Bombyx mori: one gene and its partner. Each later gene encodes a partner of the first gene's protein in a complex. Links are inferred from orthologs where the notes say so. Each region holds a gene or a part of one and is shown in the gene's direction. Other genes may lie near its edges.

Evidence for each region. The genes of interacting proteins can lie anywhere in the genome.
Region 2: general transcription factor IIF subunit 1 (region 1) and DNA-directed RNA polymerase II polypeptide share a complex: the UniProt entries of both Homo sapiens proteins name them as parts of the TBP-based Pol II pre-initiation complex. The link is inferred for Bombyx mori from reciprocal best matches to the Homo sapiens genes GTF2F1 and POLR2C.

The regions. Positions count from the first base shown.
Region 1 is NC_085121.1:15,714,410-15,719,929, reverse strand, and holds the start of general transcription factor IIF subunit 1, read left to right. Parts: upstream 1-2,030; 5' UTR 2,031-2,290; coding exon 2,291-2,314; intron 2,315-2,589; coding exon 2,590-2,768; intron 2,769-3,177; coding exon 3,178-3,312; intron 3,313-3,676; coding exon 3,677-3,778; intron 3,779-3,976; coding exon 3,977-4,045; intron 4,046-4,859; coding exon 4,860-4,975; intron 4,976-5,520. Other genes in the region: kelch domain-containing protein 4, read right to left, coding at 673-846, 1,202-1,312. UniProt on the Homo sapiens protein: TFIIF is a general transcription initiation factor that binds to RNA polymerase II and helps to recruit it to the initiation complex in collaboration with TFIIB. It promotes transcription elongation.
Region 2 is NC_085131.1:5,447,639-5,451,578, reverse strand, and holds DNA-directed RNA polymerase II polypeptide, read left to right. Parts: upstream 1-2,067; 5' UTR 2,068-2,178; coding exon 2,179-3,006; 3' UTR 3,007-3,037; downstream 3,038-3,940. Other genes in the region: L-threonine ammonia-lyase, read right to left, coding at 216-329, 561-587. UniProt on the Homo sapiens protein: Core component of RNA polymerase II (Pol II), a DNA-dependent RNA polymerase which synthesizes mRNA precursors and many functional non-coding RNAs using the four ribonucleoside triphosphates as substrates.

The DNA.
Region 1 (5,520 bases):
CACCTAATAGTTAAGGCGATGCTGATATAGCCTCTCAAGGCTATCAGCGTAGGTAGGAAAAAAAATATATATGACACTTTCACCATATTCCCAATAGAATAGAAAAAGTTTGCAGTAGGCCATGGAACCATTTAAAAGAGAAAGTACCTGCAAATTCTTCAGGTGTTCAAAAATAGAATAATTGTTTTAAAAACTTTTCCTACAGTATTTACTATTCAAATTAGTCAATTTTGACGGTTTTGTTACTTGACCGAAAATTATGTGATTTATTAAATACTTCTTGTGAATTGAGATAGTTCCTTACAAAGTGGATGTATAGATTTATTCTTGATAGACTGTATGTTAGTATCAAGTCATGAAAGCACACAATGTATTCTGTAAAAGTGATAGCAATTAGGCACATTTATGTATGTATATTCTTCTATCAAAATCACTCATCATCATTCTATACCTATTTCTGCCACAAAGTATGCATTCCAGTTTTAAGGGTTAAAGAAGTAATTCAACTTGATGTCTCAGTTAGTAATGCTATTCATGTTGTAATGTCTAAATTCAGTAATAACTTAACACTGGATGGACTATAAAATTACAGATACACCAATTTATGTATTTTCTTTATCCATCATGATACTTTACCTAATATTGTAATATCTCTAAAAATGAAATTGATACCTTTTGTCCGTTGTGGTATTCTCCACCAAACAGCACAAGCTCATTATTGATTGGATGTGGGGTGAGCGTTGCGTACGCTCTGGAGGATGGTGGCTTTTCGAGGACCTTCTCTGATGCAGCATATCGTTTAGCTTCCTCCCGTTCTATCTCAGCTATCACTTTAGCTATATCTTCCTGAAATATACATAATACAAAACTTCTATTAAAATTTTACTTGCTCTTTCTTCAGCTTTAGTTTAGTGACAAAATGACTTTTATTATCATTTACGTCATATCATAGAAGTAGTTTTTGTTATTATATTATCTCCAAATAATTAAAGCTAGATTAAATCATAAAAATATAAATTATTTCGAATTATTTAATTTTATGTTTTTCATGACTTTTACAAAATTTACCCATTTAAATAATTTTAGTAAGTTAGTTTCAATAACATTTAAGTTTATACTACTATATTAGATCCATTAGGGCGTAATTTCAGGTAACTTTTTGAGAGTTTCTAATAAATAGTGCGAAAAGGCATGGTCTAACCTCACCAAGATTTGCGAGTTCTTTTTTTAATTTGCTAGCTAGCTTTTTTTCAGTTTTTGCTGCGGTTTTAACAGCGCCACTAACTTTATTCTTATTTTTCTTTTTACCCATTTTAATGAAAAATAAATTAACTTAAATTTCTAAATATTTTATGAAACAGATTTTTAAGTATTGTGATTATTATTGTAAACAGTTTTTTTTTTCTTTTTTCATTGGCAATGGGAATACAGCCAAAATAATCAAAGCCATATCTGTTTTATGATTATAACTTTTAGGATGGAAGGGCTTGATAGAACATTTGATCCTACAAATACATTCTTACTGAGTTCAAGATTCCGTTCAAATTTTGAGTTCTTTGGACACATTGTCAGAAAGAAGATGACAATTTAGAATAATTGCTGGTAACAGGCAAAGTATGCGGAAGAAGGTTCAGAAGCAGAAGTCCAATGCTATGATTGCACTAGCTGCCTCTACTCTCAACACCTCAGTCCACGATGCCCTCCGGAAAGTCAAGGATAGGCAATGTTGGCGCAGGATAGTCCAAGCGAAATTATTATGGGACGCCATGACCCTCATTGTTGTGGATTATCGACGCAAAGAGGAGGTGACTAACCTTGTGGGTAATTTCTAATGCTGGACGACAATATGCTAAGCTGCTGTAAACATTTGATAAGATTGCTTTTTCGTCACGTATGAAAAAAATGTTTTAAATCCTAATGACTATTGCATGTTTATTAAAATAATAGAAGTCATGAGCATAGTTAAATGATAATATTATTTAGTCATATATGACTTGATACTTATGATCATAAATTCATTGACAGACTGAAATGTGCTCTGTGCTTGATGAAATTTTGACTTTTGACATTAATTTGACAGAATTTTCATTTTGCCAGCACAGTTTGCGATTAGCATTGTTTTAATTGATTACAATATTTTTAATCAAAGAGTAAACTGTAACGTAATAAATTATTTGATTTGAAGAAATTTAACGTGTACGTTAGTGAGATCATGATATCGAGGACTATTGTCATTTGATAAATTTATATACCGTCATTAATCTTGATATTATAGATATAAGTGTAAAAAATGTCTACACCTGGAAGTAGTACGGTAAGATATTATTCGTTCTTAAACGAAAAAGGTGAAATATCGTGATACGATATTTCACCTTTTTCGTTTAAGAACTTAAAACAATCAACAAATTGTGAGGTTCAAAATAATATTAAATTAATATGCAAGAATATGTGTTCTTACTGAAGTAAGTAGGTACATAAAAGGATAATATAACCAAATTTGATAAATTTTACCAAATCATACATAGAATGGTATCGTAATCATTTAAACAATAGTTACGATTTCACAGATATAATAAATTAATTTCTCAGACACCGGCCGCCACAGTACAGGAGTATAAAATAAGAGTGCCAAAGAATGTAAAGAAGAAGTATCATGTTATGAGGTTCAATGCCACATTGAATGTAGATTTTGCAAAATGGACTCATGTCAAGATGGAGCGAGAGAACAACAGCAAAGAATTCAAAGGAGCTGAAGAGGAAATGCCCAAGTTAGTATTAAGAAAATTCAACTCTTTGATGGTGATATCAAATAGATTGACTTAATAATCATAAATTAATTTTCTACATCATTAAAAATAAATGTGAAAAGTATGTCATAATTTTATGGCATAATTATTTAATATTAAGTTAATTCTGTAACTCAAAAAATTTGCATGCTAGCAGATAATAATACAAAGAATAGTCAAAAACTGGAAACCGGTTGGTTAACATTGTTGACACTAAAGACTGACACACCTTAAATTAAGGTTATTTACTCAATGCTTTAAAAAATAGATTTGCCATGAACACCCTTTATAAAAAGTGATCTTAACAGCTCCAAGATTATTGAATACTTGGGAATTAAAATACTACTACTATTACGTAATATTTTTGGTAATACTCGTCACACAAATCCAGATTTGGTGCAGGCTCGGAATACGGACGGGACATGCGTGAGGAAGCACGTCGCAAGAAATTCGGTATAATATCAAGAAAGTACAAACCGGAAGACCAGCCGTGGATCCTGAAAGTCGGTGGAAAGACCGGCAAGAAGTTAGTAATTAACAAATAACAATAACCTCTTCTGATATTGTTTGGTGGTTCCTTTACAACAAATGCACAAGAAATAATTTAATTTCACATGAGTTGGAACAATTTTTACACAACAAAAGATTTATCAGAATCGTTTAACCTAGAAAAAGTTCGAAGATAAAAATAAAATAAATAAAATTAAATCAGAACTTCTTCCTTTTTCATTAAAAGTCAATGATTGAAAACAGGATGAAAAACTGCATATAATTAAATGAAAAGTCTTGTGTTATAGACTAACGTGTGGTTATGCCTATTTGCTTGCTCTATATAATACTAATTAATATGTAACTGGTAATTTTCATATCATGTATTATCATATTTTTAGATTCAAAGGTATTCGTGAAGGTGGAGTATCAGAGAATGCTGCATATTATGTGTTCACTCACGCAGCGGATGGCGCAATAGACGCCTATCCACTCCAGGAATGGTACGGAATGTTCATGCAATATTTACAAAACATGAAAGAAATGCTTCTATTTTATTTAAAAATAATCTGAATGCTGTGTGTGAATCTCTGTTCCTTTATTATTATTTTGTGTTATTAATGTTCTTTTTTAATTGCTCAAATATAGTAGAAAAATGAAGGTAGTTAATTCTTAAGAAACTAAAAACTGAATTCTAACAGGTACAATTTCCAACCGATTCAGAGATACAAAGCGCTGTCAGCTGAAGAAGCCGAACAGGAATTTGGCAGGTAAGATGGTCCATGACATTTTTTTTATTTTTTTTTATTTGCTTAGATGGGTGGACGAGCTCACAGCCCACCTGGTGTTAATTGGTTACTGGAGCCCATAGACATCCACAACGTAACCACCGACCTTGAGATATAAGTTCTAAGGTCTCAAGTATAGTTACAATGGCTGCCCCACCCTTCAAACCGAAACGCATTACTGCTTCACGGCAGAAATAGTCAGGGTGGTGGTACCCACCCGCGCGGACTCACAAGAGGTCCTACCACCAGTAAAATTACTTGTAAATCATTTACTCATATTTTATACAGACTGTCATTCCCGAAAATGAAGGTGCTTTGTAATTATCCTAAATCCTTTGACGATAATGATCTAGAGCTTAAATGATTGTTTTTCGCACTGCATGTAACGATAAATATAATATAGGAAAAAAAAAACCAGATCATAATAGATAGTTGAACTTAAAATTAAAATATATTTTTTTATTGTTGTCTGCATATTTGAAGAATTGAGTACTTATGCTTTATCTAAATAGAAAAAAGACAAAACACTTTATTACATCTCTGTTTCAGGGCAACAGACTATTGTTATAAAACTAATAATTTGAAAAAAAAAGTTTATTTTTTGTACATTAAAGATATACGAGAATGATTACAATAACTTTATTGTTTGAATTATTTGAAAATTTATTGCTTTTTGGTCTCCGTCGCCCCGTATATAGTATATGAGAAAGATGGTTGGACCGAATCCATTGCTGTTTCTAGTGACATTTCAAAATATGTTTCATTGAAGTCGATGATCGATTTTTTTCTGCACTAGGCGTAACAAGGTTATGAATTTCTTCTCGTTGATGTTACGGAAACGGCTCCGCGGAGTCGACGATGCAGACGAAGAGGACCCAGACGAAAAGAAAGCTAAAGGGAAAGCTAAAAAAGGTACTCAGTTTCCGGTATTCAAAGCCAGAGGTGGGGTCAGCTGAAGCTGGTGATGGTAGGTCTTATGGTAAAATAAAGCAAGCACTTAAAGCGTAGTTGGTTTCTAACATCGTCAGCTGGACTTCGTACTGGTATGCTGTGCTTATAGCATTACATTACTAAAGCCACTGCGGGCAAGGGCTTCGCTATTAAGGGTGAGGTCAAAAGGTTTTTACTGGTGGTAGGACCTTTTGTGAGTCCGCACGCATTACGCAACTGACAACTCACAAAATTACGCTCGTTTATTTATTTATTTTTTATTGCTTAAATGGGTGAACGAGCTTACAGCCCAACTGGTGTTAAGTGGTTACTGGAGCCCATAGACATCTACAACCTAAATGCGCCACCCACCTTGAGATATAAGTTCTAAGATCTCAGTATGGTTACAAGGGCTGCCCCACCTTTCAAACCGAAATGCATTACTGCTTCACGTCAGAAATAGGCAGGGTGGTGGTATCTACCCGTGCAGACTCACGAGAGGTCCTACCACCAGTCTTACAACTATC
Region 2 (3,940 bases), on another chromosome or scaffold:
TTTGTTTTAAGTTTATTTTATACAAAAGTTTAGGTCTTTTATTTATCGATTGAGGCACAACGAAGTCTGCCAGGTCAGCTAGTAGACAATATATATCACACTAAAGTGTACACACACCAAGCAATTATAATTGTGCGCTCTTTCTATAAATTTCTTAGTAAAATAAGCATGACTTAAAAGCACACAATGACAACGGAATCGAAAAATTTCCTTACCACGCACGGCGTTTTAATTATCTCACTTTGTATTCTGAAAGCTGCTGCAGAGACATCTTCGAAGGATATTCTCTGAGGATTCTCCTTATCGCACATAGGATCAAACTCGATCGTCTGGAACACCATGTTCACTTTATTGTTTGTATGTTATAATCATAATTCTTAAAGCACAGTCTTTGACCTGTGGATCCCTCGGCCATTTACCGAGGAATGAGGAGTTTTACCGCCTTATCGTCCATCGGGTACTTATGAGAAATAGGGTCAAAGGTCAATAGGTGAAATACTGCACTGCAATAGAAACATTCAATACGTATCGTTGGGAAATAATTAGATAATATTACTCACCGAGGGCTCACACTTGTAACGCTCCATTTAAAAACTTTTTTTTTTATTGCTTAGATAGGTGGACGAGCTCACAGCCCACCTGGTGTTAAGTGGTTACTGGAGCCCATAGACATCCACAACGTAAATGCGCCTCCCACCTTGAGATACAAGTTCTAAGGCCTCAAGTATAGTTACAGTACAAGTATAGTTCCAATTAAAATATATTTTGTAACAGTTAATTTGGCAACACAAGTGCCAAGCTACAGATTTATTAACTGAATGTTGTTTATAATTGGAAATGATAAGGAACAACGGAGTACGTTAACTCGACAATCATTATTTACTGCGTAATTAATAATATTCTAGTGAATATTAATACATATGAATATATTTTAGTGATTTGGTTTATAGAGATAGCCAGTGGCGTAGCGAGGGGGGGCAAGGGGGGATCATGCCCCGGGCGCTATTCACAAAGGGGCGCCAAATGGTCCGCAAAACAAAAAATTGCTGATTTTTTTTTTATAATTGATTTCTAAAAAATATATTTTTAATTTAGTACCAATGTACTATAATAAATGTTAATTCGTAAATAAAAAGGAAAAAAGGGGAGTTTCCACGCGAGTTTAGATCGTTACGCCACTGCACATAGCTTATGTCGAAGATAACCTAGTTGTCCTTTATTTACATAGCCACAACTACAAGAAGTCTCGTTATAGTCATATTTTAATTACCGAAATTAATTGATGAAAAGAGTGGGAAAATTAAAGTTAACCGCAGGATGTGGCATCTTTGGTTTTTTTGTTGCCTAGATGTGTGGACGAGCTCACAGCCCACCTGGTGTTAAGTGGTTACTGAAGCCCATAGACATCTAAAACGTAAATGCACCACCCACCTTGAGATATAAGTTCTAAGGTCTCCGTATAGTTACAACGGTTGCCCCACCCTTCAAACTGAAACGCATTACTGCTTCACGGCAGAGATAGGCAGGGTGGTGGTACCTACCCGTCCGGACTCACACTATAATTTTGCGGGTTTGACTTTTATTACACGATGTAATATGTCAAGTACGTATTTCATTAGAAAAATTGGTACCCGCCTGCGGAACTCGGACACCGTTGCATCGCTAGATACGAATGTACCGGACGTTTATCCTTTAGGCCACGACGACTACAGGTCTACTGGCTTCTTCCAAAAACTCCATTGAGCTCTTAGTTAATTTCCAGCATTTTACCGAAACGTTATATACATCATTTCAGTTCATTCAACACATACATAAGGCTGGCAAGAATGAGTGAGAGAAGCTGAAGATCGTGCTCGGCAATTGGAGAGGCCTATTTTCAGCGTTGAACTACTATAAGTTGATGATGATGATACATAAGGTTAGCTTAGTTCCATTTTACATTCATTCACCAGCAAGGTTAAACATCTTTATTACAAAAAAATTGGTTGTATGAGCTTCGTTCCCTTTGTCTGTGTAGTAAATGAAACAAAAAATATGTGACAAGCACAGAGGTTAGAATTTGGCTAACAAGTTGATTGTTTGGAAGTGTTATTCGTTATTTATTTTGTTATATATTAGATGGTGTTAGTTTCATTAAAAAGAAACCTAATTCATTAAATTAGATTTAAGAAACAGAAAATGCCTTACGCAAATCAACCCTCTGTTCACATAACAGAACTATCTGATGAAAATGTAAAATTCGTTGTGGAAGATACCGAATTAAGCGTAGCAAACAGTATGAGACGCGTATTTATCGCTGAAACACCAACAATGGCCATCGATTGGGTACAGTTAGAAGCTAATTCCACCGTTTTGAGCGATGAATTCTTAGCACACCGCATCGGTCTCATTCCGCTCATATCAGACGACGTTGTAGACAAAATCAGGTACTCGCGTGATTGCATGTGTGTTGATTTTTGTTCCGAATGCAGTGTCGAATTTACATTAGACGTAAAATGCACAGATGAACAAACAAGACATGTAACAACTGCTGATTTGAAATCGAGCGATCCTAGAGTTGTCCCTGTTACATCACGACATAGAGATGAAGACCAGGCCGATTATGGTGAAGCAGATGAAATATTGATCATTAAGTTACGCAAGGGTCAGGAATTGAAGCTTCGGGCATATGCAAAAAAAGGTTTTGGGAAAGAGCATGCAAAATGGAATCCAACTGCTGGTGTGTCCTTTGAATATGACCCTGATAATATAATGAGACATACGTTATATCCAAAACCAGATGAATGGCCCAAAAGCGAGCACACTGAACTTAATGAAGATCAGTATGAGGCGGACTTCAACTGGGAAGCGAAACCAAACAAATTCTTTTATAATGTAGAATCATCAGGAGCTCTTAAACCAGAGAATATTGTATTAATGGGAATAGTTGTACTGAAAAACAAATTACTGAATCTTCAAGTGCAGTTAGCGCAAGAGGCACAAAATGATGCCTTAGCAATTAATTGATTTCATAAAATCTAATATTACAATAAATTTAATTAGATAATAAATGTTTTTGTAATTTAAGTTTACATTTTACCTTATGGTGTGTATAAGCCTTCATTTTTCAAAAGCTTAGAATGTTATACACAGTATTTCAGTCTGCAGTCTTTTTGAGAAAAAATCATACTAAAGTGAATGTTTCTGTTTCACATCAAAAACTAGTAATACTTGTGGAATGCAATTAAGAGGTTTATACACAACTTGCACAACATGAATACAACTTTAAACACAAATTAATACTACGGCCTTGTAATCACAAGAAACATATGATTTAATAATAATCTGCAGCTTTTTGCCTAAGAAGATACTCAGTAGCTACTAAATAAAAAAGGAAATTTTACTTTCTGATACATAGATATGGACAAAAAAATTAATGTTACAATAATTTCTGTTTAATTCATTGTACATATTAATTTAAGTAGTTAAACTTTCATAAAAGTATAGAAACTTAGAACCAATATTGTTTTATTATTATGTATACATAATCAATTAAAACATTTGTCACTTTATACACAGCAGTATTATTCTGTTGTTTAGAACAATTAGTGATGTGATCTTACTGCAAAAAACAATTCAAAATATTCATTAGATGTATATTTTTTAATTGCCCTTGTAGACAGACCAGCATACGGCCCACCTGATGGTGAGTGGTTACCGTCTCCCATGGACTTCAGCAATGCCAGGGGCAAAGCCAAGATGCTGCCTAGCGTGTTGAATAATATAAGTATTGGGTTCTTCAACAAATTTAAAAAGATTGAGAAATATGAAGATTAATAATTGTATTTATCAACTTATTTGCAGAATGCATGTTATTTAATTTAGTAAGCTTATAATATGATGTTAGCAAAAAGTTTGATACAACATTATATTTAAAAAAAATTGTAAAATTAATCCAAAT